Linked DNA regions of Drosophila melanogaster. The protein of the gene in region 2 interacts with the protein of the main gene of each other region in a pairwise test. Each region holds a gene or a part of one and is shown on either strand. Other genes may lie near its edges.

Region 1 (10,137 bases), on a different chromosome or scaffold from region 2:
GCGGCCGACAGTCTGGATATGTTGGAGTATCCCTTCCTGACAATGACAAAATACCCGACAGGATTCATTCTTCATTTGGGCGCAACGGTCGCGGCACGTTCCGTAAAACTACTAGAGCGTGTGCCCAATCCGGACGAGCCGGAAGTCCGAGACAGCTGGTGGACGGAGCTGCGAATGGAGATCCGATCGCATGCCCGTTCCCTGGGCTGTAATGTAGTGCTAGGTTATGCGGAGACCACAACCATATCGTGAGTATATATAATACGAATAATCTATTATATTGAAATCCCTGTGCCCACCTGCTAAGATAAGAGTAATTAATACCCTATCTTTGCTTTTTAGTGACGATGTCTGCGTTTTATCTGCCACTGGAACGGCGGCCGTGATTAACATGGTGTTTAATCGATCTGTATCGCAAACCGATATCTTTACCATGTCAAAAGCAACCGCCAGCGTTGCGGCCATGACGAATTCCGTGGAGGACGGAAATGGAAGCACCGCCGGGGATACGAGCATTGGCAAGGACAGCGGTTCCCTGGGCACCGGAAACAGTTCGGGTGGTAAACGTTACGGACTGCCCCCACTCAATGGACCCCGGAATGCCTGTGCCATCTGCCACATACCCTACAACCTAAGCTCGGTTCCGTTTAATGTGAAGATGAAGAAGTGCGCGGTGTGCCGCAAGGGAAGAGTTCCGGATGTACTGCTGGCTACACTTGAAGTGCCTGAATTTATGCAGGTTACCGGAAGAGGTTGCTTCATGCAGGCCCAAGTGGTGCGCGCCAAAAGAGATCTGCGTGCGGAGCTGAACGCCAAAGAGATATCGGATGGTCTGCCCTTCCTGGAGTACGAACTTCATCGAGTGCTGATCAACAAGCTGAAGGCCAAGGGCATGAATGCCATTTTTGGGCTACGCACGCAAGTTGCCATCGGCGAGCGTATGATAGCGCTGATAGCCACGGGAACGGCTCTATTTCTCACAGCTTTACCGGTGCCGCAGGTACCAAAGATCGTGGCAGGCAACTCGTGGACCGACAAGCAAAAGCTAAATGAGTTGCAGAAGAAATTACAAGAAACGTTTGAACGGAACCAGGAGATCTATCAGCTGAAAAGCTTGGACCCGGATTTGGCAGCCAATGTCGGAGGAGTACCTTCCACAGGAGCCTCTGGCGATAAACAATCAGATACAGACGACTCTGATGAAGAGGAGATGAACGAGATCGATCTGAACTGTGGCAACAAGGAGTTGTGTGTCCTGGAAGTGGACGATATCGAAGACTTGGAAATCATATCGCTGTTAATGGAGCCATATCCGCCGGAGGGCTTCCATGTGGTAAATACGCAGCAGGTGCCGGGCATGCTGGAAATGGATACGGTTAAGAATCTGCAGATGTTCACACAAGTGTGGCGCGCCCGACTCGAGGTGGGCCAAAGTGTAAACGGCTTCCCTAAACACTTTCAGAGGTAGGTCTAAACTTCATACTGGGATCAGCACATAAAAACATTTGCCTTCCCAGACTGTTGCAGACCATATACTTCAAGCTACGCACTATGATACCCTGTGCTATCTGCGATCTTCGCTTCCGACTAGATCTGCCAGAGACGGTAAGGAAAATGCTAGGACTTTGATCAAGAATGATTAAATTACTTCGTTCTCTGCAGGATCAAATTCAATTGCTAGTCACTGGCATGGCCATGGGCCTAAGCGATGCCAACAGAATGAAGTACCGCGGACGTGGACGCCCGGCTCAGCAGCAGCAGGCACCTCAACAGCAGAACGGATATCATGATGGCACGGTGCACGCCACTCAATCTCAGCCAGAGTTAAACGGAAAACGAATGCTGCAAGAGGAGGATTACATATTTCCGCTGGACGAGGATCAGATGGTGGACACACCCACGCCAACCAGCACCGCTATTCCGCCATTCGGAATGAGCTCATTCAAAATGCGAAAAACTTCACCATCACGTCTTAACAATCTCGTTTCGGGATTGCCTTCAACCGGAGTTAAGCCATTGAACGTTGGATCTGTTCAACGTAGCCGTTATGTAAGAACATTAAATATTAATGATGTCTTTATATTAATATTATATTTCCTTGACAGTTTCCGCTGCGAGATCGTTATGGAGTGGATGTGACGCCACTAAGTTTCATACCTGGTGGTCGTATAGATAAATATTTGGGCAACCTAAACTTTTTCTTTATTCGGGAGAGCACGTCGATCCGGGAAAATGGTGGCATCAGCGGATTTGTCCATGGCTTCATTACCGAACTGTTGGCTGTGGTGAGAGCACACATCGCTTCGCTGGGCGGAAATGCCATGGTCTCTTTTTACATCACCGAACTTATGTTGTTCGATAATCAGCACAAGAATCAGGTAAGGCAAACACAATGATCTACTTACCTTAAAGTTTTTATACTGAAATCTTGTATTCTTAGGGCCAGTGCCTGATTAGCATCGGAGGCGATGCTGTCTATGTGAGCTACCATGCCGATGACTGATATAAAAACTTGCGGGGCATATAGCGCATGTTTTACGCGAATCGTCCCAAAAGCGTATACTCTCTATTTTCTTCCGCTTAGCTAGAACTATCAGCTCTGCCCAGCAACTGGAGTTAAACTGAAGTTAAACTAATTCACGTTTACTTAACAATTTTACAGCATCTGTAGATGGATTCTTTATGCAATATTTGAACTGTGAGGAATCGTTCTAATCCTAACTTAGTAGTGCTAATTTTTTCGGTCTTGTTACTTGTTTGCTGGATGTTTTTAGCGTTAAATCAATTGCAATTTCTGTACATAGTTGATGTTTATTGAATATTGAATTTAGAACGAGTGCGAGACACAAGTATAATATCGATATATACAATTGTTGCAACCACAAACATGACACATATACTCGTACCACTAGATATCCAATTTTGGCGCGTAAAATACAATACATACAATATTATGGAAATACAACAATTGCTCAACTAAATGTATTTGATTCGATTAGTTTGGTGTAGTGGAGAGCAGCACAAACATGACCCACAGATGTAGTAGGGCCACGTAGACGATCACAGAGACCCGCATCATGGGATAGCGACGCAGAAACGTTCCCACCCGAATACCCATGGAGTCCGCCTGGCGAAGGGCTCGCTTGAAGCGTCGTGCCACACGATTATCGAATGGACTTGGATGCATGAGAAGCGGGAATTGTGCTTTGACTAGGTAGAACTCATATTTATGTAATTTCTGGTACTCGCAGAATGTTAGACTTACCATCATCTGTGCTGTTGAGCATAGTATGGCGGGAGCTGCCCCTTTGGCTCTCCATTTCCACCAAGTGCATGTTTTGCTGTAGCTGCGTCTGTGCCTTTTCGTGCTGTAGTCGCAGGGCATTTCTCTCACTCGTAACTCTTTCCAGAAGACTTTGACGTTCGACCAGTGATTGGGTTAAAGCCTTTAGCCGAGTCTCGTAATCGCTCTTGGCTCCCGTGTTGGCTTCCTCGCTCAATCGCTGACGCATCTGCTGAAGCTGCTGCTCCCGCTCCTGGAGTCGAGTGGCGGCAGCAGCCATTTGGTTACTAAGTTGCTGCCGCAGTGAGGCCAGTTCCTGCGTGAGCACTCGCTGATCGGATTCGGAGGTCACACTGTGTTCCCTTGCCTGTCGCAACTCCTTTGCTAGTGTTTCCTCGCGTTGGCGGGCAGAGCTTAGTTCCACCTGTCGTTGTCTTTCCTGGGAAACGTAATCGTCCAGCTGCAAGCGCGCCTTTTGCAGTTCCTCGTTGGCATGCTCTAGTTCTTGCTTAAGTGACTCGTGTTCAATTTGCAGAAAACGCGTTTCACTGTCCTTGGACACCAGGTTTGGATCTGCGCCCTCCTCCGTGGGCTTCGCCTTCAACTCTGCGATGAGGGAATCCTTTGCTTGCAGAGCTCGCTGAGCCTTGATACGGTATTCCTGAAGCTCCTGGCGCTGCTGCTCCGTTTCCTTTGTTTGCATTTGCAATTTGTGAGCGGCGCTTATGTATTCCTGCTGCAACTTGGCCAGATTGGTTTCCAGTTCGGAGATGGAGTGCACATACGCCATGTTAGCTGCCTGGGCCTCATTGTAGTCATGAACCGCCTTGTCCCGCTCTTCGGACAGACTTTTAACCAGAGCTTCCAGCACCTGGGTGTGTTGATGCAGATCAAACTTTTCGGTTTCGTTATTAAGATCTTCCAAGCGCAGACGCAGTTCATCTCTTTCGGCCGTGATTTCATTCAGGGCGATCTTGAAGGCAGCCAATTCATTTGTGTCCATTGAGTTGGCGGATATGTCGGGACTGTTGGAGAAACTGGCCGACGTGGTCATCTTTTGGCGCATGTCCTTAGTGACCACGGAGACCCCGCCATCGCTTTTTACACTTGATGAGCTATTGGCCCCCGAGCGCCGCACTGGCGACAGAGTGGACTTCAGGGATGTGGACAGTGATTGGGTGCTGCTCGTCATGCTCCTACGCATGGGATCCGCTGAACCTGTGGCGTTCTCTGTCTGCAGGGCCGTTGCCGCATTTTGGTCCAGCTTGTTCAAAATGTTTTCGGCCTTGTCCGCCAGTCCTGTGATCCAGGATGACATATTTTTCTAAGAAAAACAAATCTCTTCGAGTAAAACACGTAAACAATATCACACTGTGTGCCCATATCGCTATCGACTGCGGAATGGTCAACTCCAAAGTTAAGGTCACTCTAAAAGTAACGTAATTTTGAAAAACCTTTTTTCTGATCAAAAAAATATTTATATGAAAATGTAAGGATTGGTTTTAGAAATAAATGTAATTCCAATCTTTCTTATCCGTGCAGAAATGTTAATTTATTATGCTTATCAAAACTCTAGGGTACAAATGAATATTTTATTCAATACTCAACATGGGCAGTGTAATCTTCGCAACTCACAACTATAAACTATCTCTTCACTTTCCAATGCAAAAGTCCTTGAAGACCACGTCGAGTATATCTTCGCAGCTGATGTGTCCGGTGATGCGTTCGATGCAGCGCACGGAGTTGCGCAGCTTGGAGGCGGCTATGGCCATGTCCGGGTAAACGTCGGGTCTGTAATCTCGTAGAAAAATATCAATGTTCTCAATGCAGCGCTCCAGTTGCTGACGGTAGCGTGTGTTTGTGATGCGTGGATTCTCCGCCCGCGGTTCTCCGCACAGTTCTTGCAGCTGCTTCTCCAGTGATCCCAGAAACACGGGCATCTTATCGGGCTTATGGCATGATATGGCTAACACGTTGGACAGCTTGTCCAGCTGCTGATGCTCCTCATCCGTCAAAGTGTCGGTTTTATTGGCCACCAATTGCAGACGTTTCCCTGAGCACATGTCCAGAGGTATATCCAACTCGCCCAGATAGCTATCTACAAACGGAGCAACTGCGTCGTCGTGCGTCAGCTGTGCAATGTTCTTGGCTTCTGCTAGGAGCAATATCAAATCAGATTGGACTAGACAATTCTTGGCTCTCTGCATTCCCTCCTGCTCTATACTATCCGTAGTATATCGGCGTAATCCGGCTGTGTCGGAAAATACCACCGGGTATCCTCCGAAATTGTGCATTGTTTCTATAATATCCCTTGTGGTGCCCGCCTGATCCGTCACTATGGACACGGATCGCTGGCAGAGGAGATTGAGCAGACTACTCTTGCCAACATTGGGTGCTCCAATGATCACAGTGCGGACTCCGTCGCGGAGGAGCTCTCCCTGCCGCTGGTCACTCAAATGCTCGCGAATCTCACGCTTTACCGCCTTTAGTTCTTTGCCGAGTTGCAGGATGATGCCGCCTTCGATTTGCTCCTCTTCGGCGAAGTCTATGTAGGCCTCCAAATGGGCAGCACAGCGAATAAGTCGACGGCGCCAGTTGTCGTAGAGTCGAGCCAGTGCTCCAGTGCTTTGTAGCAGTGCCTGGAGAAAGAAGAGACTTGAAACAAAATTTATGAGACCCTAAGTCCACTGTCTACCTGCTTTCTTTGCGCCTCCGTTTCAGCATGGATAAGATCGGCCAATCCCTCCACCTCTGTCAAATCCAGTTTGCCACCAAAGAACGCTCTCTTTGTGAACTCTCCCGGCTCCGCCGGCCGCAATCCATCCACTTTTCCCAGAGCATCCAACATGGCCGCAATGACTGCCAGGGACCCGTGTACCTGAAACTCGCAGGAATCCTCGCCAGTGAAAGAAGCCGGTCCCGGAAACCAAAGTAAGAGCCCACGGTCAATCATCTCTTTGCTGGCGGGATGGTAGAAGGATTTCAGATACGCCTGACGAGCCTATATGGAAAAGTATTTATAAAGGGAACTATAAGTTTCACTATCATAGAGGTCTCTCGTCTTAAAACCTGGCAGCTTGCCAATTATAACAAATTAAGCAGTTCACGAAATTATTCAATTTATTTAGTCAATTATATGTAAGTTAGGAGAAATTTGTTTATTTTTATACAGGATACATCTCCCAAAATGTATATAAATAAGCAACAGGTCTTTTCATTTGCATACATATATTTTGGATACTAGAAAACAAAACTATACACTGCACAGGTCACGACCCCTCATATATGGAATAATAAACGTTTATATCGATTGACTTGCCTTTGGCTCGTATTCTTTGTTTGCAACAATTGCTCGGAGGGCCTTCTTTGTTTGCGGCCCGGAGACACGGATCACGGACACACCGCACTTGACATGACCGGAACTGAGGCTGTAGATGGTGCATCCGCTGCTGGCAAAGCGCCGGAAACTGCCCAAGAAGCTCTGGGACGCGTTTCTGAGAAGCGCCATCGCCGAAAAACAATTAAATCCCAACCGCCGAATAATAAACAATTGAACGTGATATTAAGTGTGACCGCGGAATGGCCGTTACAAAAATATATCATTCCACTCGGAGATATATACTAAAGAATTGTGCGTAAACAATTATGGAGCGGTGGTAAGCTTGGGTAAATCTCCAGTCCCGACACAAACCATTTTGACCGAAATATGGGATTTGAAACATGGGAACGTTTTTTATTTATTTCTTTGTTATTTGGATAGAAAGAATTCACTTTTATTCAATTAGACAGAAGTAGTTTTTGTAATTTTTTGTCAAATAATTATCAGATTTTTTGTCAAAAGCGTTGGAAAATATCGAATGACATATCTCGATGAACTTGTAATTAAGCCCTTAATTGGTTGGAGTTCAAATTTGGTAATTTTATTTTTTTGACGTTTTTTGAAAAAAATAGACGTTGTTACCCCTTATAAAAAATGTGAAAATAGAAAAAAAAAAATTTTTTTTTTTATTTCACCAAAAGTTGATAAAAATAATAAGCATTGGTAAAAAGCTGTAAGAAATAGTTCTTATTAAGTCTCTGAGACCAATTTTAGCCAAGCTGTGATGAACTTCTCAAATTCCCTCTCCGCTTTTGACGAAGACAAATACACTTAAATATTTTATTAGTAACAAATATCACATCTAGTGCAGATGTGTTACATTTTTACAGTTACATTTTCGGATTTGGACGCTTTAAAATCTGATGCCTTCGACACTATCAATTTGATCAGGCTACAAGAATGAGCGATTGCTAGAATTTCTGATGCGAATACAACTGTCAAATATAAACGGTTTAGAATAAGAACTGACGTTTTCGGGTGCTGTAGGCGTTTGACAACCGGAGAGATACAATGGGTGGTGGACAGCTATCGGTGGCACGAGCAAATTTGTTGCGTTGGATCATCGCCGCATTGGTGTCCCATTGGTTGATAAAGGCACGGGCCTCGTCGTCACATGGCTTTGCCGTACTCGGTCTTTCTTCCTGCAAAAAAGATTATTTCAAATTGATTTTTGTTTGAAATATTCCAAAAAATAGGCACCTGGGCTCGGCGGCGTCGAGGAGCCTCAGTTTCCATCGACTCCAGAAAGTCCCGTCTACGATTTCGTTTGGTCGCCACACTGTCCGGGAAATTAACCCAGGTGCACTCGTACTTGCGCTTCTCCAGTTCGCGCGGATGGTACTGCTCGTTATCGAAGCGTTCCTGATCGTCCCCGACCGAGATGCGTCCGTGGCCCTCGTCCTGCTCCCACATGGAGCGTCGCTTGTTCTTCTTGTACACATCCGCTTTCTCCCGCTCCCTGAGTATCTGATCGTCTGGCAGGTATTGGCTGCCCACTCTGGGCCGCTGGGAACGCCTGGCAATGTGACGCGTTGAGGCGCATTCGATCCGCGCACGGAGGAGCTCGATGCAACGGTTCACCATCATCCGAGTGCCACCGTGGATGTTAACCATTCTCGGAAGATATTTTTTTTTTTTTTACAGTTTTAGAAATTTTATTAAAAGAATTAGGGAATTGTGTAAGTTTTAGTATTGGAATGCCAAAATGTAGCCTGCTTCCAAAGAGGCGGCGTGTAACGAACTGAATCCGCTCCCAACAAATCGAGGTGACATGTAAGGTGCGTACGAATCAAGGCACACCTGATGCTGTAAGTCGGCTCACCTTTCTTAATTAGCACTGTTCACCTGGCGTTAATTTTCCACGACTAGTATCTGTCACACAGATCAGTTGAGTTCTCAGAGTGGCGGCATGAGGTCTACGATTTTGGTACTTCTGTTGATCGGAGCCATTAGGGCGGCTATTGGGAATCAAACCCATCTGGTGGGCTCCTCTTTGGAGAATCGCATTCTATCGCGACGGGTGCGTGCTTTGGTTTTTCCCGACAAGGCATCCCTTCTCCTGACCGCCGCCCTAACCAAACTAATTTTGGGCGGACGACCAAGTGGCCTTCAGTACAGCTTGGAGTTTGATATGTACGTTCCGGTTCCCGACACCATTGAGGGTTGGCAGCCCAAGATCCTAAAGAAGATGAAGCCAAAGCCAATGTCAACGCCAAAACGCCGGTATGATTGGTCATATAGCAAAAGACCTGAAAGCTATTATCCATACTATGCGGATCCATATAGAAATGCTCATTACGAAAGGTAAAGTATATATATTTAACCGTTAAAGAAATAAATTCGAAATTTTAAGTTTTAGTCCTGCTAACAATCATAGAGTTCCATTCTACCAAGCAACATCGAGGTAAATTATTATGAATTACTTTCAAGAGGTAATAATTACAAGTTCAATGTCCTACTAGGGATTCATTTCCCCAAGCTTCATGGCATTCATCCTCGCCCACTAATCGCAGGAAAGAGTTTTATACATCGAGGTAATATAAGATTAATCATTTTGAAATACCCTAAAGTGGCTTTAAAATATTTCAGACCCTCATTGAATAGGGCCTCATTCTATCATAGCCCATGGAGCTTGTCTGCAAATCAGAGAAACTCATATCCACCGGAGGAAGAAGTTTATGAATCCTGGGATCAAGTGCCTAGTTGGAAGTTACATCGTGGATACAGAGAACGCAGAGAGATTTTCGATCAACTCGAGGCCATGGGAAAAGTGTAAGTCTTAAGTGATCCACAGAATAATTTAAAAGAACCTATTAATAGTTTTCAGTTGGACCTAAGGTCTTGTATCAAGAGAGCCATGTGTGAACTAAGGGCCAAGTTAAATGCAGGTCAAGATCAGGGATTCCTCATGGAGGATCTAATGCGAATTGTGCTGACGTAAGTAAAATAATTCATTGTCATATATAATGCCATTAAAACCATAATAAACTATACTTCAGAGTTCCCGAAGAGGTGGCCGATGATAAGTACAGGCATCGCATGGATAACCAGGACTGTGCCCGATTCTACGCCCCAAGTTGTCCCTACAATGTTCTAGACTTCCTTACCCAAAGTGGTGCAAAATTGTAAACATAGTGAGCCGAGAATCGAACTTCCGCCCCAAGTCGTTGTACTGTGATTTCGGATAACCCAGAGTCATCAGTTCTCATTCCGTTCTCGAGCTGGATAGGTCTCTAGCCTCCCAGTTTCGTGTTCGCAAAATTCCATCTAAATTTCCGGCCCAAACCTTTTGGAAAATATATTTCGGTTAAAAATTCAAAATTCCAGAGCTCAAAAATGGCACTGAGTGTTAATCCCTCCCGAGTACTGTTCCGTCCAATTTTTGGTGCGGTTAACAGCTGTGTGCGATTTGCATCCGGTTGTGAAAAGAAGGGGCCGAGCCGGTGCCCGAAGGTGTTGACCAAGTTCCCCTGCG
Region 2 (10,137 bases):
CTAGAGGCCGTAGTCAATTCACTGTCCTTGTTATTGACCAGAATCCAGTTCTCAGCACTTGGACTGGAGACTGCAGGTGCTGCAGATGCTTTCGTGATCTCCGAATCCGAAGTGTAACCACGCTCTGGCACGGCAGTTGCGTCCTCTTCGCCACTTATAGCGCCATCAGACTTTGCACTTCCGTTGGGCGGCAATGGCAGCTGGGCATCATCATAATTGGGCGGCACAGCACCGGCTCCCACGCATTCAAGTAGATTGAAAATAATCTGCCAGTCCTGCTCGGAATGAATATTTTGGGCCGACGTCTTGAGCAGCTCATAGATACCAATGGAAATCTGTTTAGAAATGCGCAGCAACAAGGCTGGCTTAAGCATTAAAAGCATCTTGAGCGATTGCAATACGATCGGACACAGTTCTTCGTTTCGCATCAGATAGATAGCTAGTTTTAGGACCGCTACAATGCATCGGTTGAGTAGGTAGTCGTATCCACAGGAGGCACTGCCCATAAGCAGTAGGTACATTTGGTCTCGAACTGCTGGCCACAGCGGTATCATGCGATCCCGGTTATGAACAACTATCTTGACCAAAAATTCCATCCAGAAAACAGTTTGATCTTCGGCGTACGGCAGGCCAATGGATTTGTGCCCCTGAGGAGCCTTCAGTAGCGCTAGAACGCATTTAAGCAACTCCTGCAGCGACTCTAGTTGCACAAACTTTGATTCCTGCAGCATTTGATCCAGCTGGCACTCCTTAATGCACTTCCGTCCCAGTTTGATGAAGTCCTGCTCCTCGTACGTTGGTTCTCGCTGACCCTCCGAGCTGATAAATGAGTACAGGCTGGAAAATAGTCCCGATTCCTGCTTCTCGCGGGGCTTTTCCAGGATTAACATGGCCTTTCCGTTCGCCTCACAAAAGTCTTCCACTTCGATCAATGATTTTGGCAGCAACTTTAGACGGAAAAGCTGCAGATATAGGTCCAAAATGTGTTTCCAGCTCTCTCTTAAGCAATCGCCGTAGTCGTGAACCAATAGAAACACCGTTCGCATGGCAGCCTGAGCCTTTCCGTTCAATCCAAAGTTCACAGCTTGCTGGGTTTCATTGTTCGCCGGAGCGGGCTCATGCTGTTCTACGCTGCTCAGCAGCGTTGTGAATTTGCAGAGAGTTAAAACGAGGGCATCGAAGTCCGAATGCAGATTATAGTGCGCCGATATGGCAGCGGATTTGCTGAAACCTGAAATGTAATCGTAATGTGAGATGTGAATGGTAATTATTAGATGTTTATGTACGTACCTGCTAGAGTTCTTTGGTAGCCCGTTTCAGTGCTTTTATCAAACATAAAGCTTAGGGCGCTCAGAGAAGCACCCCACACAATATTGAAGATCTCCACGTCGTATGATGCGTCATGCACATAGTGAAAATGTCCATCGTGCGTGTCTCCTCGTCGAAGCAGTACTTTCCATTGATAATTTTCACGCACCAGACCCGTTTGCTCTGCTGGCATAACGATCTCTTCGTTCCTTAAATAATTAATAATCGGAAATATAAGCAAATGAGAGTGACGCTATATGTACTAAAGCTTACTTGATTGCATTAAAGACTTGAGCCAGCATTTCTTGATCGAAATCTTCGCCACCGTTTAGACCACGCAAATTCTTAGTGAAGTCCTCGAGCGTCATTGGAACATTTAAACGCTTCGCGTTCGAGTTGTGCTGATCCATGTTCAGCATGATGATGGCATAGGCCAAGCGAAAAGCAGCGTCTACGTTGGCAAACGGATCTTGGTTTTGTTTCTATATTGGTGGGATACATACATGATTAATATCAGAGACTGCAAGTATTTTAGTAGATGTGTATACTCACATGCCAATGATCAGAAAAGTGTTCCAGCACCAAAAAGATCAATGGAGCCTCTCCGGGCAATCTGAAGGTCTCCAGATAAAGACGCAATGCTTGATCCACTCGAAGACCAGTGAAATCAAACGAGTCCACAAAATTAATTAGAATCTTAGAGTCGACGTTTTTCTTTTTCGAGATATATTCGCCAATCATTTTTTTATCGAGCCCGGGATTTTCTCGAAGGAACAGGGCCACCTGCATGGGATCAAGCTCGGCATTTAGGATGCCGTGTTCTTGCAGATACTGGATTCCTTTCTCTGGACGCTGATTAAATCGCTCTGTGCCTTGGGATAGCAGACGCTTCTTCTGTTTGACCTTGGCCAGCTGTTCACTGGTTATTCCCACTCCCTCTCCGCCAGATTGTAGTCGTAGTCGATGTGAGCTCGCATTTATAAAGCTTGCGATGTTCTCCACTTTCTCTTCTGCAGCTACACTATTGCCAGAATCAATTACGATTCCCTCCAATCCGCTGTTGTGGCGAGAATGGCGGCTGCCACCTGTTGCTGGGGCAGCTTCTGGCAAGGACTCTCTGTTGTTGCTGCTATTCTTGCTCGCGGCACAATTTCGCTCGATACTGTCTATCACACTTAACAGGGTGTCCATTGAGATAATGTGGGTGCTATAAACTGCATTCGTTGCTGACAGCGTATACTTGCTCAGTAGGTTTGTCAAACTTTCAAACATATCCGTGCAGTACAAGTCACAATCGTAGTTGATATACAATTCCGTGACGAAGCCGGGAATGCGCCACAACTGCAGTAGATTGTCCAGAGCGAGTTCTCGCATTTCGTAGGGCGTCTTGGGATTATCGCTAGCAATAATCTCGCTCAATTTTCTAAGGTAGGCTTCCAGCTGAAACTTGAGATGTCCGCGGAGAGACTCGAAAAGCAAAAAACAGAGCTGCAAATCGGCGGCAAAGATGCTAAGCCGCTCTGAGCTGAGAAGCTGTAGGGAAAGGAAAGAGTTAGGTCAGAAATAACTAACGAAGCAATTAAGAGTCCCTTACCGATATTAAGTTTCTGCATAAGTCGTCCTTAACCAGCTCCAGCAAGCCCTCATACTTTCCAATATTATCGGCTGCGACTTCAAAAGCTACAGTAAGTAGACTAAGACCCGTGTGCATCATGCTATCCGAGTTCTGCTTATCCAGAGGATTGCAGAGGATTATGAGGAATCGGAACAACTCCTGGATGAAGGGCAGGCCATAAGGGGATAGTGATGTTACATCGTGATCGGTGGACTGCTGTGTAAAACGGACGCCCACCGAGTTGATGTACTCGCTACTATTTGCCTCGGCCAGGGTGCTGGTTGCTTCACCCGTTTCGCCGTCCAGCAAGGGCTCCGATTCAGTCGACTCCACTTGAATAACAGGAGTCTCCGGGACAGTGGTTTCATCTTCCCCCGTGCTCGCCGTTGTTGTTGGTGTCTGCGTAATCTTGCCCTGCATGTCCAATATGTTTCCCGCTGGACTGGCGGGTGTGGTGGCCAATATGGGTGCCTTCAAGTGCCCTGGCACCGTCAGGTTGGCAGACTGCGGTGTTTGAGGCGGTTCCTCCACTGCTGACGATTTCCTGGGTGCTGTCTGGGCTTGGGCAACCGTCTTACGCTTTAGTTTTTCTTGGGTAGCTCCGCTGGCAGCATCGCCGATAGTAAATCGCTTCTGGAGCATGGTGTCACTTCGCTCTTCGGCGAACTGGGGAAGGCGCATGAAGAAGAGCAGCACCATGTCCTTGAGCGATTTTTCCGCCGAGCGACGAAGCAGTTCACTCAGCCTCGGCTCGAAGGAGATCTTGAAGCAGCTGAGCATCACCTCGCACATGGACACATTGCTGACGGCGGCTCCTTCGGGACTGCGGATAAGCGTGTGCAGCACCTCAATCACTCGCATAAAGGTGACACCATCCGAGGACTGATCGGTGCCCATAAAGCGGGCATGTGTCACAGCATCGGCAATGCGCTCCACAATGTCAGCCAGATTTGGAGACGTGGGATCTGTGGATAGGTACAGAATGAGCAAATGCAGAGGGTAAGCACTAAATCATAATACCTATTAGCCCGTAAGACAATAATTTGTTAACCGAGGCCAAGGCTAGACTAGTCAACGGACCCGTGGCGTCCGCCGTGCGAATCACCTCAAGAAACGGAGCCAGGAAGACCTGAGGCTCGATCTGACGCAGGTCCTCGATCCGATTTAGCTCATGCTTGAGGTCAATGAACAGCTTCAGCAGCGAGTCATTCTCGTCGTCCTGTGGATGTGCAAAAGGGCCATATACTTTCTATTCGCAGTGAGCATTAGGGGCACTATTTACCACGTAGGCGGTGGCATTCCAACGCGTTCCACGTCGCATCGCCGTCATCAGGGTGGCCATTTCGCCCCGCACCACGTAGATGCCGTTGCCTGGAAGCGCCATGGTGTCCGCGTGTCCTCCGTTGCGGTGTCTCTACGACTGCAGCTAGTTGGCTTCCAGTTCCAGGGCTAGCGCTGAAAATTGCAGTTTTCGTGGGGCAGGGCAGCTCCTCCTCCCTTCCCGACGACCTTCGCATATGTTTTGGCACTCGCCACTTGCCCACTCGCACACTCACGCTGCCTGGACGAATCTGGGCGTGCTGCCTAGTTGGGCATCTCTCACTAATCCTAACTAATCGAACTGGTAAGCTGCTAATTTTTGGTGACGTTTACGTGTCGTTTATGTTCTTGTGTGCAGTCCGAATATTTTGCACAAGCGTCTTCCAACACCGGCGCGGCAGTTCGTCGCTTCGCAGCACTGGCACAGCTGTAGATGCCAACTCGATGCGGAAATTTCAATAGATTAAATTGAAATACAGCTGCAAGCGTATATAAAAAAAATATAACCTTGTTTTTAAAATAAAATATGTTGCCAAGCTGTCGATCAAATTGATTTAATCAAATTGATATTTGAATATGAGGGCCAAAACAGGTGAGCATAATCAGTCACGCACGCATCTTCAGTCGTGAGCGTTACACCCACCACTAAGTTACACTGGCATTTGGTGCGTAGGCGAATTTCTAATTGGAATCGTTCGATTTTTGAAAAAGAATCGCATTAAATGCAAAGCATTCCTGTTCCAGACTACTGCGCACACTTGCACTGAGGCGATCGAGCACGGGGCAGGTGGATTTACAGGACTCAGCGATACCAAAGCAGCCCACAGGCCGAACAATATGGGAAACACGGACTCCAAGTTGAACTTTCGCAAGGCGATTGTGCAGCTGACGCAGAAGAACCAGAAGATCGACCCCAGCGACGAGCAGTTCTGGGAGCAGTTCTGGCAGGGCCACCAGACGACGCTGGAGGATGTGTTCGCGCTGGTCACCTCGAGCGAGATTCGCCAGATACGGAACGAGAATCCAGCCAACCTGGCCACCTTATGCTACAAGGCGGTGGAAAAGCTTGCCCAGGCGGTAGACAGCAGTTGTCGCACGCAGGCGGAGCAGCAGTGCGTTTTGAACTGCGTGCGGCTGCTCGTCCGGTGTCTGCCGTACATTTTCGAGGACGAAAAGTGGCGCGACTTCTTCTGGAGCAGCCTGCCATCGCAGGACAAGACCATGCCGTTGGCTCAGTCACTGCTCAATGCCACCTGCGACCTTCTTTTCTGTCCCGACTTCACGGTTACGGCCACGCGGCGTGCGGGCCCCGAGAAGGCCGAGGAGTTGGCGAACATCGATAGCTGCGAGTACATTTGGGAAGCGGGCGTGGGTTTCGCCCAGTCACCGCCCCACAACGCCCACATGGAGCGCAGGCGCACGGAGTTGCTGAAGCTATTACTCACCTGCTTCTCGGAGCCCATGTACCGATCGCCGCAGCAGTCCGAGGAGCCCAACAAGTGGATAGCATATTTCACCTCGGCCGACAATCGCCATGCCCTGCCGCTGTTCACCTCGTTTCTGAACACCGTGTGCTCCTACGATCCGGTGGGCTTCGGCGTGCCCTACAATCACCTGCTGTTTGCAGACACCACAGAGCCCCTGGTGGAAGCGTGCCTTCAACTGCTCATTGTCACCTTGGATCACGATATGGTGGTGCAGCAGCAACTCACACAACCCGGACAGGCGTCCTACGACGAGGGCAATTGCGGCGACAACTTGTTCATTAACTATCTTTCGAGGGTTCACCGCGACGAGGACTTTCACTTTGTGCTCAAGGGCATAACCAGGCTGCTGAACAACCCACTGGTCCAGAACTATTTGCCCAATTCCACAAAGCGACTTCATTGCCACCAGGAGCTGCTTATTTTGTTTTGGAAAATATGCGACTACAACAAAAAGTTTCTGTATTTTGTGCTAAAGAGCTCCGATGTTCTGGACATCCTGATTCCCATTCTGTATCACCTAAACTACTCCCGAGCGGATCAATCTCGAGTGGGCTTGATGCATATTGGAGTATTCATACTGTTGCTCCTATCGGGTGAGTCATATGTCATATGTTTTGTTCGTGGAATCAGTGCACTTACACTTAAATAAATGTTTATTGATAGGTGAGCGAAACTTTGGGGTTCGGCTTAACAAAGCATACTCCGCCACGGTGCCCATGGATATACCTGTGTTTACTGGAACCCATGCGGACTTACTCATCACTGTGTTCCACAAAATAATAGCCACTGGCCACCAGAGGCTGCAGCCGCTTTTCGATTGTCTGCTGACCATTCTGGTAAATGTCTCACCATATCTGAAAACCCTCTCGATGGTGGCTAGTGTAAAGATGTTGCATCTCCTGGAGGCTTTTAGCACACCCTGGTTTCTGCTATCGGCACCCAGCAATCATCATTTGGTGTTTTTCCTGCTGGAGATCTTCAATAACATTATACAGTATCAGTTCGATGGCAACTCGAATCTAGTCTACACCATAATTCGAAAGCGTCATGTGTTCCATGCCATGGCAAATCTCCCGACCGATATGGCTGGCATAGCCAAGTGCCTGAGTGGCCGTAAAACAGGTGGAAAGTTTAACTTGCCGCGGGTACCACAGCGAAGAACGCCAGCTGTGTCCCAGGAACTGCCCTCGGCCCACGTGCCAGAAGAGTACAACGAAGAAGACGAGGATGAGGACGAGGAGGAGATAATTAATGAAGAGCCCAAGGCGGAAGAGGATCTCGAATCGGAGACAGAGTCTCATGAGCGATCTCAGGCGGGGGAGCTGCAGTCGGACGTTCTCACGGCGCAGCCAGCCGAGCCAGGAACACTGAAAACGTCCTTGTTGGACACCCCGGGCATTACTCAGATGACGGAGCGGGAGCAGGCGCATCCAAATGACAAGCCTCAGGTGGAGGATTCTACAGACATTGTGCCCTACGACAGATCAGCCGCTTCGACGCCAACTGACGAACGCAAGTCCACCTCACCCACGGAATTGTCCCGCTTGTCGGTGGCCCACAGGGCCAGCATTCGCATGGTGCCTGGCGAGAGCGATCGTTGGACGCCCACGCCCGAGTGGATCGTCTCCTGGCGCTCCAAGCTGCCGCTGCAGACCATCATGCGACTGCTTCAGGTCCTAGTGCCCCAGGTGGAGAAGATCTGCATTGACAAAGGACTGACCGACGAGTCGGAGATCCTCAAGTTTCTGCAACACGGAACGTTAGTGGGACTGCTCCCAGTGCCGCATCCCATTCTCATCCGAAAGTACCAGGCCAATGCGGGCACAACGGCATGGTTCCGCACCTACATCTGGGGTGTCATCTACCTGCGCAACGTGGAGCCTGCCATCTGGTACGATACGGAGGTCAAGCTCTTCGAGATTCAGCGCGTCTAGGTCAGTAAGTGGACTCCCAGCTACACCAGCAGCGCAATCGTAGCTTACACGCTTTGGCATTTACTGTAGTTAATTTATTTAGTACATATTTCATTCCAAATGTTTTTGTGAAGAATCAGTGTGTAATGAACTACCTTTCCCACAATTTTGCTTATTGGCAACAAAAAAAATGAGGCTTATCAGTTACGATGTGGCATTGAGATCCATTCAACAGATTTGTTATCGGCTTTTAGCATTGATATTTAATTGCTTTCCTAATTTGTTTTGAAGAGTGTTCTAAAAAACAGTATAAGCACAAAGTGTTTTTATTTTAGTTAATGACTAAATTATTAAACAACTCATGTTTTTGTAATCTGTGACAGAAAATGTTCCTTGTGCCGTATATTTTATTGCATGGTTTTATTTATTTTATATTTTAATAATTTAAAAATTTCCTGTTTTTACTTATGTATGTATTTAAGGTGCAAATACCAAGAATAAATTACTTTCACTCAGCCACTCTACAAACGATTCGCTTTATCCAAACAAATTTGTAACTGCACCTATTGACACCATAAAAAGCTTTACGTTCTCTTGTAATGATTAGGAAACTTTAGTTGAGTCCAATGAACTGCTTTGTAAACTTAATTAAATATAGACATTAATGATAGAATTGAGAAAGTGTATTAATTTACTGTCTACGTGTGCTTATAAACTATATACACAAACTAAACTTATGACACCTATACAAGTCAGTTTATATAAATCATTTACGAAATATAGAGCAGAACCCAAGATAAGTAATAAATAATAAATAAATTTCATAAAACGAATTGAATCTTGTATTTTAATTTATAAGAATGGCCAAATATAGAGCCAAATGACAGTTACTAAAAAGCAGTTTCATATCAATCGATTTTACATTCTTGTAGGTTGCGTTCACGGTGGAGAGAAAGGACTTCATCCTTTCTTTTACGCTTCTTCAGTCGTTCTGCTTGCTCTCGATCCTCCAATAGTTTGACCAAATGCTGATGCCAGTAGAAGTATTTGAAGAAAAACAATAGAAGCAGCACCGAAGTGGTGACAATGGATGCGGTTGTGATCTCTACGGGCTTTTCGCCTTCCTCTTCCACCCGCTCCGAGAAATGGCGGGTGGATATTCTAAGGCCGAAGTTTTGTTTGCTTGCCGCAACATTGGGCCGATCCATGAGCACCGAAGGCAGCAGCGGTAGTTGTCACGACTGGATTGTATTGGAAGTGGCAGTGGATGCGGGCACTGGTGGCGGAGCTACTGGAATAATCGAGAATTTGATAAACGCGCTCTTGCTGCGCCTTTGCACTATTCTGCCAATTAGTTGTGGTTCCTTAATGGTCTGTTCGATGGCCTTTACTATGCGCTCGGCGCTGCTCTCGTCCGATCCACTGGCATTGCCCTGGATAAGGATGCGAACCTCGTGTCGCTTGCCCAGCCACTTCACAATGTTCTTGAGTCTGGAGGAGAGATCGTGCTCTGTGATGCGCGCACCAATGGTAAGGGATTTCTCCGTTTTCTTATCCTTAACTTTTTCGCTCGCTGATCTCGACTGCTCCGCATCATCCGACAGCATTTCAGCAGCTGTGACTAGTCTGCAAAGTATAGCAACTTCATAACAATGACCAGGCCCCGATGATAACCATATATACCCACTTGAACATGGCTCTTCCTGTTTTAGCATCTGTTTGCTCCAATCGCAACAGGTGCAGATCCCGTCGCTTGGCCAGCTTTTGGGCCTCCTCCAAAGTGGTTATGCTAATTGACTGGTTCTGTTGGATCAGGGTGATCTTCTGGACACTTGCCTTTAGACTCCGTGTATCCCTCGTTCTACTGTCTCCTGGGCTTCCACCCACCGGCTTTTGGTGCTGCGCCAAACTCCAGTAAACGGTCAAGGGACGCAGGTGTTGCTGCTGAATCGCTGCTGCGGCAGCATGATTAAACATTAATCTTATGCGTTGCATGCTTCTCTTTCAAATATATTTTTGTATATCTCTTGGTTATTTTCGATTTTCTTTTGCTTGTGCAATTTTTTTGTCTCAGAGTTGTCAGGTTATGTGAAGCAGTCTGTTTTAACAGCTGTTCCGGCAGGTAAGTACCAGCTGACGGCTGGAGTTATCGATAATTCAAGCCGCCAATAACACCCAAGTTAAAAAGAATTAAGTGTAGTATGTTTATTCTTCAGAATGAAAAATCAGTCGGGTAATATGATACAACAACCAGGATCAGCAGGCTCATAAAAATTTCTTCAAAATATGAAATGTTTTTCCTCAGAAAACCGATAGAGACATAGAAAACCGATTGCTCGCATGAATTCTAAAATTTTGTTTTTGTATTTTGTTTTTTGGTTTTCGTTCTTGGGTATTTTAGAAGCCGAGCTTTGAAATCGACTTCAGTTCCTAAGAGAGACATCACGATGAAACTACAAGTAAGTAAAGTGTTCTGCTAAAAAATATTCAACTA
Region 3 (10,137 bases), on a different chromosome or scaffold from region 2:
GGATGGCCAAAACCATATGTTCATTTAGCAGCGATAAGTATAGATGCCCTATAACCAATTAAAAGTAGCAAGTGTGGGCAAAACAGTAGAAGTAGTTGGAGTTACCTGTATTACTGATGATGAAGAAGTGAACTCCTCCTCCTTTATGGAAGTACACATTCCATTTTCGGTACACTCAAATGCTTAATTGGAAGTATAGAAAACATGTAAAAGTTTCAAATGCCAACTAGAGAGAATGCTATAGTCAAGTTCCCCGACTATCAGATACCCTTTACTCAGCTAGTGTGAATGCGAACGCGAAATTTCTGAATTTTTCTGGTATATCGATAGATATTGGGGAATAAAAATTGTTCAAAAGTGTGGGCGTGGCAGTTATGGCCGCTTTAGGGCGTTAGACTGGGTGTGGCAAAAAAAAAATTGTAAATCGATAGAAATTTACACGACTAATAAAATTATTAAAAAATATCCAAAAAAAATTTCAAAAATGTGGGCGCGGCAGGTTTGGGCGGTTTTAGGGCGTTAGAGTGGGCGTGCCAAAGTTTTTTTTAAATCGATAGAAACTTACACGACTTATAAAATAATTTAAAAATATTTCAAAAATGTGGGCGTGGCAGTTTTGGGCGTTCGAGTGGACGTAGCAAAACGTTGTTTGCAAGTCGATAGAAATTAATGAAGACTAATCAAAATGTGAAAAAATATCAACACATTTATTAAAAGTGTGGTCGTGGCAGTTTTGTGCGGTTTGTGGGCGTTAGAGTGGGCGTGATAGCCTTCTAGCATTTATAGTACCTAAGATCTCGACGTTCATACGGACAGACGGACATGGCCAGAACAACTCGGCTATTGATCCAGATCTAGAATATATGTATATCTTCTGTCTGTTACATACTTTTCAACGAATCTAGGGTATAAAAAATATAAAACCCTCGGTATAACCAGTACGATCACAAATTCATTAACAATATTCAAATATTTATAAGCAACTACAGTTTTTCCCGGCATTTACAACATATAAATGTTTGCCGGATCTACGTCCAATGATTGTGTTGCTATTTGGGCGATGTTCTTTTGAAAACTTGAATCTCCAGCCACGATGAGGACACGCTGTCCGGGAATCGCGGGATTGAGGTGGGTGGCCAGTTCGGTGGCATCTAATCGGGACACCTTTGCCGTCTCCTTGTAGCGTAGATTGTCCCGGAGCTGAGGGCACTGCTGGGCACAGTGGCCCGCCTCCTGGCAAGCGGAGGAGTCACACTGCTGATGCGGCAGGTAGAGGCAGCTCCTGTAGTTCCAGAACTGGGCGAACTCGAGCATCTCCTCGCGGAAGTAGACATGCAGCAGGTCGTGAGCGCACACCAAATGCCACAGGCGACTCATATCCTCCTCGTTGTCCAGCACCTGCCGAACCAGCGGCAGAGTGGGTGCAATAGCAACTCCCTGGGCGATAATATAGATGCACTTGGCCGGCTGCGGTTCGTGTACGTATTGCCCGATGGGACCACGGAATTCCAGCAGATCGTCGGGCTGTACGGCTTGCAGGTGCCGAGACATTGGCCCCTCCGGCTGCAGCTTCACCAGGATACGGAACTCTTTGGCCACAAAGTCGCTCCAATAGGGCGAATACGGACGCAGCAGGGAGCCGACGCGCAGCATCACATGGTGGCCGGGCGGGATGTCAAGCACCGTGTCCACCGCTCCATCGCCGTCCCCCTCCTCTGCTGCATGAGCAAAGTGCAGGAGCAGCAACTGTCCATTGGGTCCCAGCGCTTCCCGCCGCAACAGGCGGAACTTCGTGTAGCTCAGGATCACGTTGCGTTTGCCAGCCAGCAGGACGCGTTTGCTTGGCCGTGGCTTGTTGTCGAGGATGCAGTTGGTGCAGCCATTGCCGCAGCAGTCTGAATCCCGCAGCTGGTCCTCGTTTTCCTTCAAATCTTCCAAATAAGATAACATTTTCCTGTGCCTATCGAGGCTATCGATAGCAGGCTAGCGTAGCCGGAAATCTGGCGAATTGTAGCCAGACATCTGGCTAGTCCTTAGTCAAGCCAATCGCCAGAGCAGGCAAGAGTTATCGATATCGAATCTCGGGACAGAAATGCCAGTCAAAAAAGTGTGTAAATAAAACAAAGAACAGAATATCTACAGGGAAAGGGGTGAAAGATCGGCGCCAGGCGTAGAGTACTAACTGCCCCCGCCCCCCCACTCCATCATAACACACAGCCTTGTTCGGGCGAAGATCGCTTCGTGGAGCGGACGCGGTGCGGCGGGTGCCCACGAGCAACTAGTGTCCAGGTACCAAGTGTCCAGTGACATAGCTCTATGGTGTCCTCAGCAACATGAATCTGGAATCTCTGTTCCGCGACTTCAATCCCTGGTGAGAAGCCTCCGACTGCGGACGACCGGATCACATGGGTTCCCAATCTAAAACATAATCGACCATGTTCCCTTTCAGCAAGTTCATCGTCCACTGCAGCCTGTTCATCTTTGTCACGCTCTTCGCCTTGCGCCTCGACAACTACATTGGTGGGTACTTTTCTGTGGCAGTTCTGGAATACACAACGTCACCCAGAATTAAAATAGCACGGGGATGCAAGAAAATACAATCATATAACAATACAAGCATATACGACCCATACACAAATATGTGTACGGTGCACCATCGCTTCTTCTAGAGAATAGTCCAGATTTATTGTATACAAGGGTTAGCAAGCAGATCATGAGATTGGATATAGCAATATCGAAGAAATCGTCTGACCATAGAGGATCATCCAAATTTGGTCACTTAACGAGGATATTAGTTCTCTCGCTATTTTAAATAACTTATCTAAGCTAAATATTTAGATTTTTAATTACTGAACAAGATTTATTGTAGGGCATTAACCTTATAATTGGCCTAGTAGCCTAGTCTAATCGAATGCCTTATCCCAGATTGGCCCTACTGGGCGATTTTCACACCGCTATGGATATGGAAATGCACCGCCATCCTGGGCGCAATCGTAGGAGCCATTGTGTGGTGTCGGTATCCGCATTATCGTCTCGAGGGCGATGCCTACACGCAGTTCAAAGCGATGCTCATCTCACTGGCCCTGCACCTGATCCTGCTGATGTTTGAGCTGCTGGCCTGCGATAAGCTGACCTCGGACCGTCACTTGTGGGTGCTGGTCTTCATTCCGCTGATCTTCGGCTCGGTGGTTAGTGTGGGCGCCTGTGTCTGGGCCGTCAAGCACGATCGCTCCTTCGAGCTGGAGCTCTTCCTGGCGGTCAACGCGCTTCAGTTTGTTTCACTGCCGCTAAAGCTGGATCGCTTTGTCTACTGGAACTGGGACGTAGTGTTTGTGCCCATGTGGATCGTCATATGCCTGAGCCTGGTCAGCGTATTGTATAACATCATCTTCTGTGGCATCATGATGCGTACGCCGGAGGTCTCGCTGCAGCAGAAGAAGGCGGCATTAAACGCAGCGGTGGGCAACATCTGCACGGTGCTCCCACTGCTCTGCTTTCAGGTGAGACCTCATCTAGTCCCTCCAAAAGATTGTGCATCGCTAACCCATCTATTCCGCCAGGTGGTCATCTGCGACAAGCTGGACGGCGAGCTTAAGTTCCCGTACATCGTGGTCTTCTCACCGCTGCTCGTCTCTATTCTGGCGCTAATAGTTCTTAGCTCCTCGGCAAAGGGCGGCAACATGTGGTGGTTCGGCATCCGCAAGTCTTTCAGCCAGTTCCTGTTGTCCGCGATGCCGTTCCTGCAGGAGTACGGCAACATCAGCTATCACCCGGAAACCCACAGCAATGCTGCACAGTCCATGCCGCTGGACGCAGCGTCCTCCTCGACGAGCATGGCGGCCAGCGAGCAGCTGCACGAGTTCCACAAGCACGACAAGAAGAGCAAGAAGGGGGCCAAGAATGACATTCTCAAGCCGGTGGTTCCGTTCGTCAGCATCGATCTGCCGGACTAGATATAGACGGCCAGTACAGCACAGGAGCAGTACAGGAGCAACAGTAAAACAGCAACATTTACAATAAATCGCAAGAACCGCGTAGACTTAAGGACAGCCTCTTTGCACGCGCACAAGGAGACGCCGCACACCTTTGTTCAGGTGTTTATGTTAGGCATTGTTAAGCATACCCATACCCACTTACACACTCACGTCTCCGTCGTAGCTTTTAGACTTGTACTGAATTTTAATTGTAAGACAAACGCTAACACCGCCCACGAACCATGTCCAACCAACCAACCAACCAACCAAGCACATCGCACCCACCATGCTCCCTTCCACGCATCCGCCTGCATATGATAGCACATATAGCACATACATGCATACAGGACCTGACCACCACACGCTTTTGTCCAGACCCGAATCGGACTCCAACTTGACCACAAATTGAACAGCGCCGCATTCGGAATTTTGACTCGTGTGCTAGTATTATATGTAAAACATCTCTCACACCTTGAGAAGCCCACTTATGTGTAATGACCTACTATAAAGTGTAAATAATTAACAGAGTACGTGAAAACGAGAAATATACTTAAGTGCTTCCATCAAAATGAAAAGACGATGATGAAATGGTTCGAAATTCGTGTGAGTTGTATTTATCTTTATTCAATTAGGAAGCTACAAAGTTTACATATGTATTTCATAGTTAAGTTTTGCATTTCATTTTTAATTAATTCTCTTACGTTGTGTCGCCTAAAAAGTTATGCAAAGGTAAAAAGTTGCATTTTAAAAAGTGACCATCCATTTGCCGGACAAAATAATTGAAGATTAGCCGGTGAGCGGTATATATAAAGCGCATATATATATATATATATGAATATATGAATATAGTCTGCAACCGGATCGGATGCGACTGGAAGTACATATTCTTGGGGGTGTGGGAAAGAGAGAGTGAGGCACATAATCGGAAATGGGGAATCGAAATGGAGCGGGACAGAGTTATACATTAGTATAGATATAGTTAAAGTGGGCTAAACGCAGGCCGTGTAAGCATTAACAATAATTCAAATACAATATATATCTGATCGATCGCGAGGTGCAACTGGCAACTTAACTATTGCATAACATATCGCATGAGTGGGCGTGAGCTTGCTTGCATTTGTTAATCTGTATAACATTTTTTTTTTATAGAGTGTCCGTTTGTATTTGGTTTTTTGTGTGAGAATTAACAATTGTTTCATTGGCTTAGCTACATAAATACGTTGCTCGTTTTCGGGAACATACGGGGTTATTACCTAAGACGTCGATCTCCTGCAAATATAATGCACAATCGCAATCATAATTAAGGTTAGCAATAGCACGTACTACTTATCGAATAAAACCTTCCGCCTGAACCTGCTGTGTACATATGGCACAAAGTTGGCCAAGTAGCGATATCAATTTGAACTCTTCTCGATTTACACTAAGTACTCTTGTGTAGAAGAAAAAAAAACAAAAAAAAAACACCTACGCAACTCCTTTGCTGCAAAATATATTGATCCTAATCTGGTTTGCAATTCGGTTACCTATGATGGGCCTCTAGTTTTCACCGGATTGCTCCGTCTTTCGATTTTTATTTCACTATTAAAGTTGGCTAAGAACAATTGTTTACTTGGCTACATTTGCTTATACCACTGACCTTCTGACCCCGTGAGCACCAGAAGCCGCACCTCCACGTCCATTCGGATTATTCAATCCGATCCACGATCAGTGAGGGATTCTGAAACTATGGGCATGAGTTAGCTAGCTATCAACTATCCGGGAAATATCATTTGCCATCACTGCTCGGATGGAATCTGTGGAGGTCCTGGTTCGTTGCCCGCAGCAAAGTCGCACACTTAATGTCTATTGTCTGATTACCGTCTATTAGAATCGTGTCCTTGTTCCTTTTATGTTTGTTTGTTTTTCTTTTGTGGTTGGGGGCCAATAGGGCCTGTCCCAAGGAGGCTATTTCCCGCTGCTCGTTATCATCTTGTATAAACGATATGTACTAAGTGGTAAGTAATGCGACTTCTATTTATTTTACTTTACTTTACTGCCTAACAAATGAAACTGCTCGCACCTGGCTTGGCTCCTTGCATTCCATTCGAAATTGACATGAGATCTGGCGAGCTGCGATCCATTTGGTTTGGTTTTGGTTTTGGGTGCACTTAATCCCTAGGTAACTTATTTCACGTATTTAGAATGTGTACATAGAACGGTATGCCCTCTAATCTGGCAAAATTCTTTACATACTTGTTGTTAAATTCAATAGCTATATTAATCATGGAACTATGGAACATTTATCTCTGGATTTTGGTTTGGTTTCGCTTTCGGTTTAGATTGATACATAAGTGTAAGTGTAAAGAGAATCGAAGAATTAGAAGAAGGCTAAATTTGCTATGGTTGATCGGTATGGAAGCGCTTAGTTTTAAAGTTGAAGAAGTTCGTTAATTGTACGTTTCGCACGGGAATTACACGCACACGGTTCACTGGAGGAGTGGCGTGCTGGGGGCATCTAGTCCTGGTCGAATCTAGTCCAGTTTCGGCCGGTTGCTCAAATACTGGGCAAGATTCTCGCGGGGTCCCTGCACGATCATCATGAACTGCGATGGGAAGTCCCAGATGATGGTGAAGTGGAAAAGCATGTTGGCAATGGCGATCAAGTACTCGAAGAACGCGAACCAACTGAATGCTGTCAAGAGATGTGGGAATAGAGATGTGGGAGATTCATTATCTGTTTCGGGGTGGAAAATGTGAAACTAAGAGATTTGAAACGCACCCAAGTCGTGACAGTAGAAGCGATGTTTGGCAAAGAACACCAGCAGGCCGACGGTGCTCAGGATGGAGACGGCGAACAGGATCTTCTTCCACTTGATGGAGAGGAGCTGCTTTTCGCTCAGTGCCTGTCCGGCATTGAGGATGCCGTTCAGCTTGATGGTGGCCAGCATGTAACACAGCGAGCAGACCATGAACGTGATGAATATGCGCTCGTGAACGGCTGGAAGAGAGAGAGCAGACGGATCAGAGGGATCAGATGTACGATTGGGGGGCTGGGCAGGACCTACGGTAGTTCTCGCGATTCGATATATAGGTGACGCCGCCCAGGGACGCGATCTCGATGCAATTGAGCACCAGGATCAGCGTGATGAGCAGGCTCGTCTGAGGCACCTGGGCGGGACTGATCCGACGCAGCTGCGAGCGGTAGTAGTTCTTGTAGACAAAGGCGATGGGGATTCGCGGTCCGATGTGGAGCGCGATGCTGAAGCGCCAGAAGTAGCGCTGCGGACTGACGCCGGTAATTGCACTTATCGAGGGTATAATGTTGTAGACCTGGTAACGAATGCCATACATAATTAATAACATTAATCTGGAGACTGAAGATATGGTGGGAGATGCTCTTGAATATGGACGGACGGGTTACCCTTGAAGTGAATGCTCTCTATACTTGCAAGGAAAATGAATTATGGCCACTAATAATCAAAATATATATTAATAACATAAAAAAATCAGATATGTATAAATCTATTTGAGTTATATATATACCCAAATAGGAATATATTTCACTGGTGAAATTTATTGTAATTAAAATTAAATAAATGACCGCTGGTGAAAATAAAAACCGCCATGCGTGGAGCAATTGTGAGCGAATCGTTTGGAAAAGCGGATTTGCGTGTCTCCAATCTCGGCGGGATTCCCGCAGGGATGACAGTGATTTATTGGCCACGGGCGACGCGCCGGAGCCCTGCCCAAAACATTCATCATTCATCAGCATCATCCTGGCCACTGAATACCCTTGGATCGCCCGGTGCCCATTTACTCACGCGGCAATGTGTCTCGTGGACATCGTCGTACTGGAAGACGTAGGCGGTCACGAAGCACGTGAAGAGCGTCACCAGCGGCAGCAGGGCGGTCACCACGCACAGTTCATGGAAGCTAGCCAAGTAGTGGATGGCAACCTGCTGCTCCTGCGGCTCCCTCGCATCCGCCTGCTTGGAGCTAATCGTTGTGTTGATCTGCAAGGAGTTGCAAGGAATGGAGGCCATTAGGATCGAGCGGAGTTCAAGCAAAACCACTGCGCACTATACTTGGGATGTGCGAAATGCCACATAATAACATGTGATGGAGAGTATTTGCAACATATAGCTTTTCGTTATCAATTAAATGAATTAATTAATATTAAATTGATAGTTAAAATCCACTCATTGAGTTATTAACGTATAGGTAGTAATCAGTATTAGGGTTTTTCGAGTTATCATTGAAATTAAATATTTCCCAGGACAATGTTTGCTTATGTGGCATCGTTCCAGCCCAGAACCGCAGTGGTTTCGCCTCTTAAATGGAGGAGTGGAGAATGGAATGGGATGGCAGCCCTTACCTGGCCATAGTTGGTGGTCGAGTGTTTCGTTTTGGTTAATGCACAACAACGATAAAGCGCTAAAAAAAAAATAAATAAAGGTAAAAATAGAAATGAAAACCAAACAGAAGGCGTGTGAATAAATCAATAAACAAAAGACGAACGATGGGGCGCAGCGAATTAAGGCGGAAACTATGCGATCCGGCTGAATAGTGAATGCGGTTCGCCTGGCATCCCGAACTGGATGAGCCGGAGTTATAAATAAACAAGTCCTTGAGTTCTTGGGCAGACAAGGGGAGTAGGGGGCGGGGGCAGGATATGAATGATAGCCTGGGGGGGTGGCAAGGACACTCTCTCCCCCTTTCTCACTCTCTCTCTTGCTCTTCCTCTCTTTATCGTTCTCTGGCGCTGCGAAGCAGCAAAGGATTAAGGACCAAAAATAGACGAGCCTCGCCTGACGTAACCATTATTACCAACGGCAGCTGGCCAAAATTAATTAGCTCAAGTTAATGGGAAATTGGCCGGGCGTCAGAAATGAAATTAAATATGTGCTGCGATTGAATCGGGACACCGGAAGCGAGCAGCTCGAAGCTCGCCAAGAAACTGGGCCAAAGGTGGGTGGTTGGGTGGTTGGGTGGTTCGCAAGGACATGGCGAAATCGAATAAATGATTAAAACGAGAAACAAACAAACAAGCGCCGCCTGTGTAAATACACGCATTTCGAAAATTAGGCAAGCCAGCGAGAAAAACTAAATAAATGCGAAAACGTGTAGCAGAAATGCACGGAGAATATTTTTCATTAGCTCAATATTTTCCAAACTTCTAGAACTTAGCTGGGTTTACAAATCAAGTATTTGCAGTTCAAAAAGATTCATCCGTTATTTCATGCAGTTTACGATACATTTACAGGGATTCTCAAATATCAATTCTATTCTGTATGGCATTATATGTACTTATTGGTTATCCAATAAACTTTTGAGTTTCAGCAAGTTAGCCATTTGTGGAACACCTCTATTCCTGTAAGTGGTAAGCTTTCTTTCGGCTTTAAAGAGAGAATTGTGGTTTCGAAAGGAATATTATTAGCTTGATTACTTAGCCTTACGGAATAACTGGTGGAGTAAAAATATGTACTTGTGATTGTTTTTAAATCCACTGATTCTGTGTGCTAAATTTGGTTTCATTTTATTTTGTTGCAAAAATGGCTTTTAGCATTTCTGGATTTCTGGACTAATTTGAAAATATTTTCGGTGTGAAAAGTGTTGTGGGATGGTGGGAGGGGGTAGCAGGGGGGTGGCATGCGCGCTGACTGCGGAAAATTACAACAAACGAGCCGAGGAGGAGCATGGAAAATAAAACGTTCGCCCACACACACACACACATGTACACACGGACACACACAGTTGTTGTGCGCGTTTACAACGCTTTTTGCTGAGCAGCGGGGTGAAATGGGTGATGGTGGAGGATGATAAGGAGGAGGAGGGTTTGGGGGTGTCACTAAGCGTGCGCTGCCTCCGCTTAAAGTTATATAATTTTTGGCCAGGCCAAACAAACCATAAATACACACACTGGTTCGCACGAACACTTAAAAAAAAAAAAGAACAAGAAGAAAAAGTGGAAAGCAACAAAATTGGGCAACTCCATGGAAAAACGCCTCTCACCGCTGCTGGGTCGCTGGATCCGCCGGAGCAGCTGTTCCCGCCACCTCCCCCGCCGTCGCCAACGCACCTGGACACCAGGTCCGTCGCCCCCATCCCGCTATCTGCTGCGGATGACGTCGCCGCTCCGGTGCTCTGCTGCATTCTGTGCTCGGTTGTCGGCGTTGACGCTGGC

The links.
Region 1: the proteins of garz (region 2) and Golgin84 interact in a two-hybrid assay, tested with the Drosophila melanogaster proteins (one large-scale study listed by BioGRID).
Region 3: the proteins of garz (region 2) and CG14194 interact in a two-hybrid assay, tested with the Drosophila melanogaster proteins (one large-scale study listed by BioGRID).

The regions. Positions count from the first base shown.
Region 1 is NT_033777.3:24,353,276-24,363,412, forward strand, and holds Golgin84 (Golgin-84), read right to left. Parts: upstream 4,664-10,137; 5' UTR 4,602-4,663; coding exon 3,266-4,601; intron 3,211-3,265; coding exon 2,996-3,210; 3' UTR 2,795-2,995; downstream 1-2,794. Other genes in the region: CG6454 (uncharacterized protein), read left to right, coding at 1-248, 343-1,464, 1,518-1,605, 1,663-2,049, 2,106-2,378, 2,441-2,503; CG18528 (uncharacterized protein), read right to left, coding at 4,936-5,922, 5,979-6,284, 6,603-6,791; CG5762 (uncharacterized protein), read right to left, coding at 7,616-7,804, 7,863-8,276; CG33339 (uncharacterized protein), read left to right, coding at 8,572-8,966, 9,022-9,066, 9,125-9,196, 9,252-9,434, 9,483-9,599, 9,662-9,791; CG33340 (uncharacterized protein), read left to right, coding at 9,999-10,137. UniProt on the Drosophila melanogaster protein: May be involved in maintaining Golgi structure and in intra-Golgi transport.
Region 2 is NT_033778.4:12,320,844-12,330,980, reverse strand, and holds the start of garz (gartenzwerg), read right to left. Parts: upstream 4,622-10,137; 5' UTR 4,308-4,621; coding exon 4,206-4,307; intron 4,143-4,205; coding exon 3,944-4,142; intron 3,889-3,943; coding exon 2,903-3,888; intron 2,842-2,902; coding exon 1,861-2,841; intron 1,791-1,860; coding exon 1,582-1,790; intron 1,518-1,581; coding exon 1,291-1,517; intron 1,232-1,290; coding exon 1-1,231. Other genes in the region: CG8841 (uncharacterized protein), read left to right, coding at 5,081-6,323, 6,394-7,664; mIF3 (mitochondrial translation initiation factor 3), read right to left, coding at 8,879-9,269, 9,331-9,638.
Region 3 is NC_004354.4:19,191,499-19,201,635, forward strand, and holds CG14194 (uncharacterized protein), read left to right. Parts: upstream 1-2,056; 5' UTR 2,057-2,333; coding exon 2,334-2,371; intron 2,372-2,449; coding exon 2,450-2,520; intron 2,521-2,925; coding exon 2,926-3,500; intron 3,501-3,560; coding exon 3,561-3,953; 3' UTR 3,954-4,539; downstream 4,540-10,137. Other genes in the region: CG7914 (uncharacterized protein), read right to left, coding at 1,003-1,950; CG7990 (uncharacterized protein), read right to left, coding at 6,485-6,645, 6,733-6,951, 7,019-7,283, 7,775-7,966, 9,966-10,106.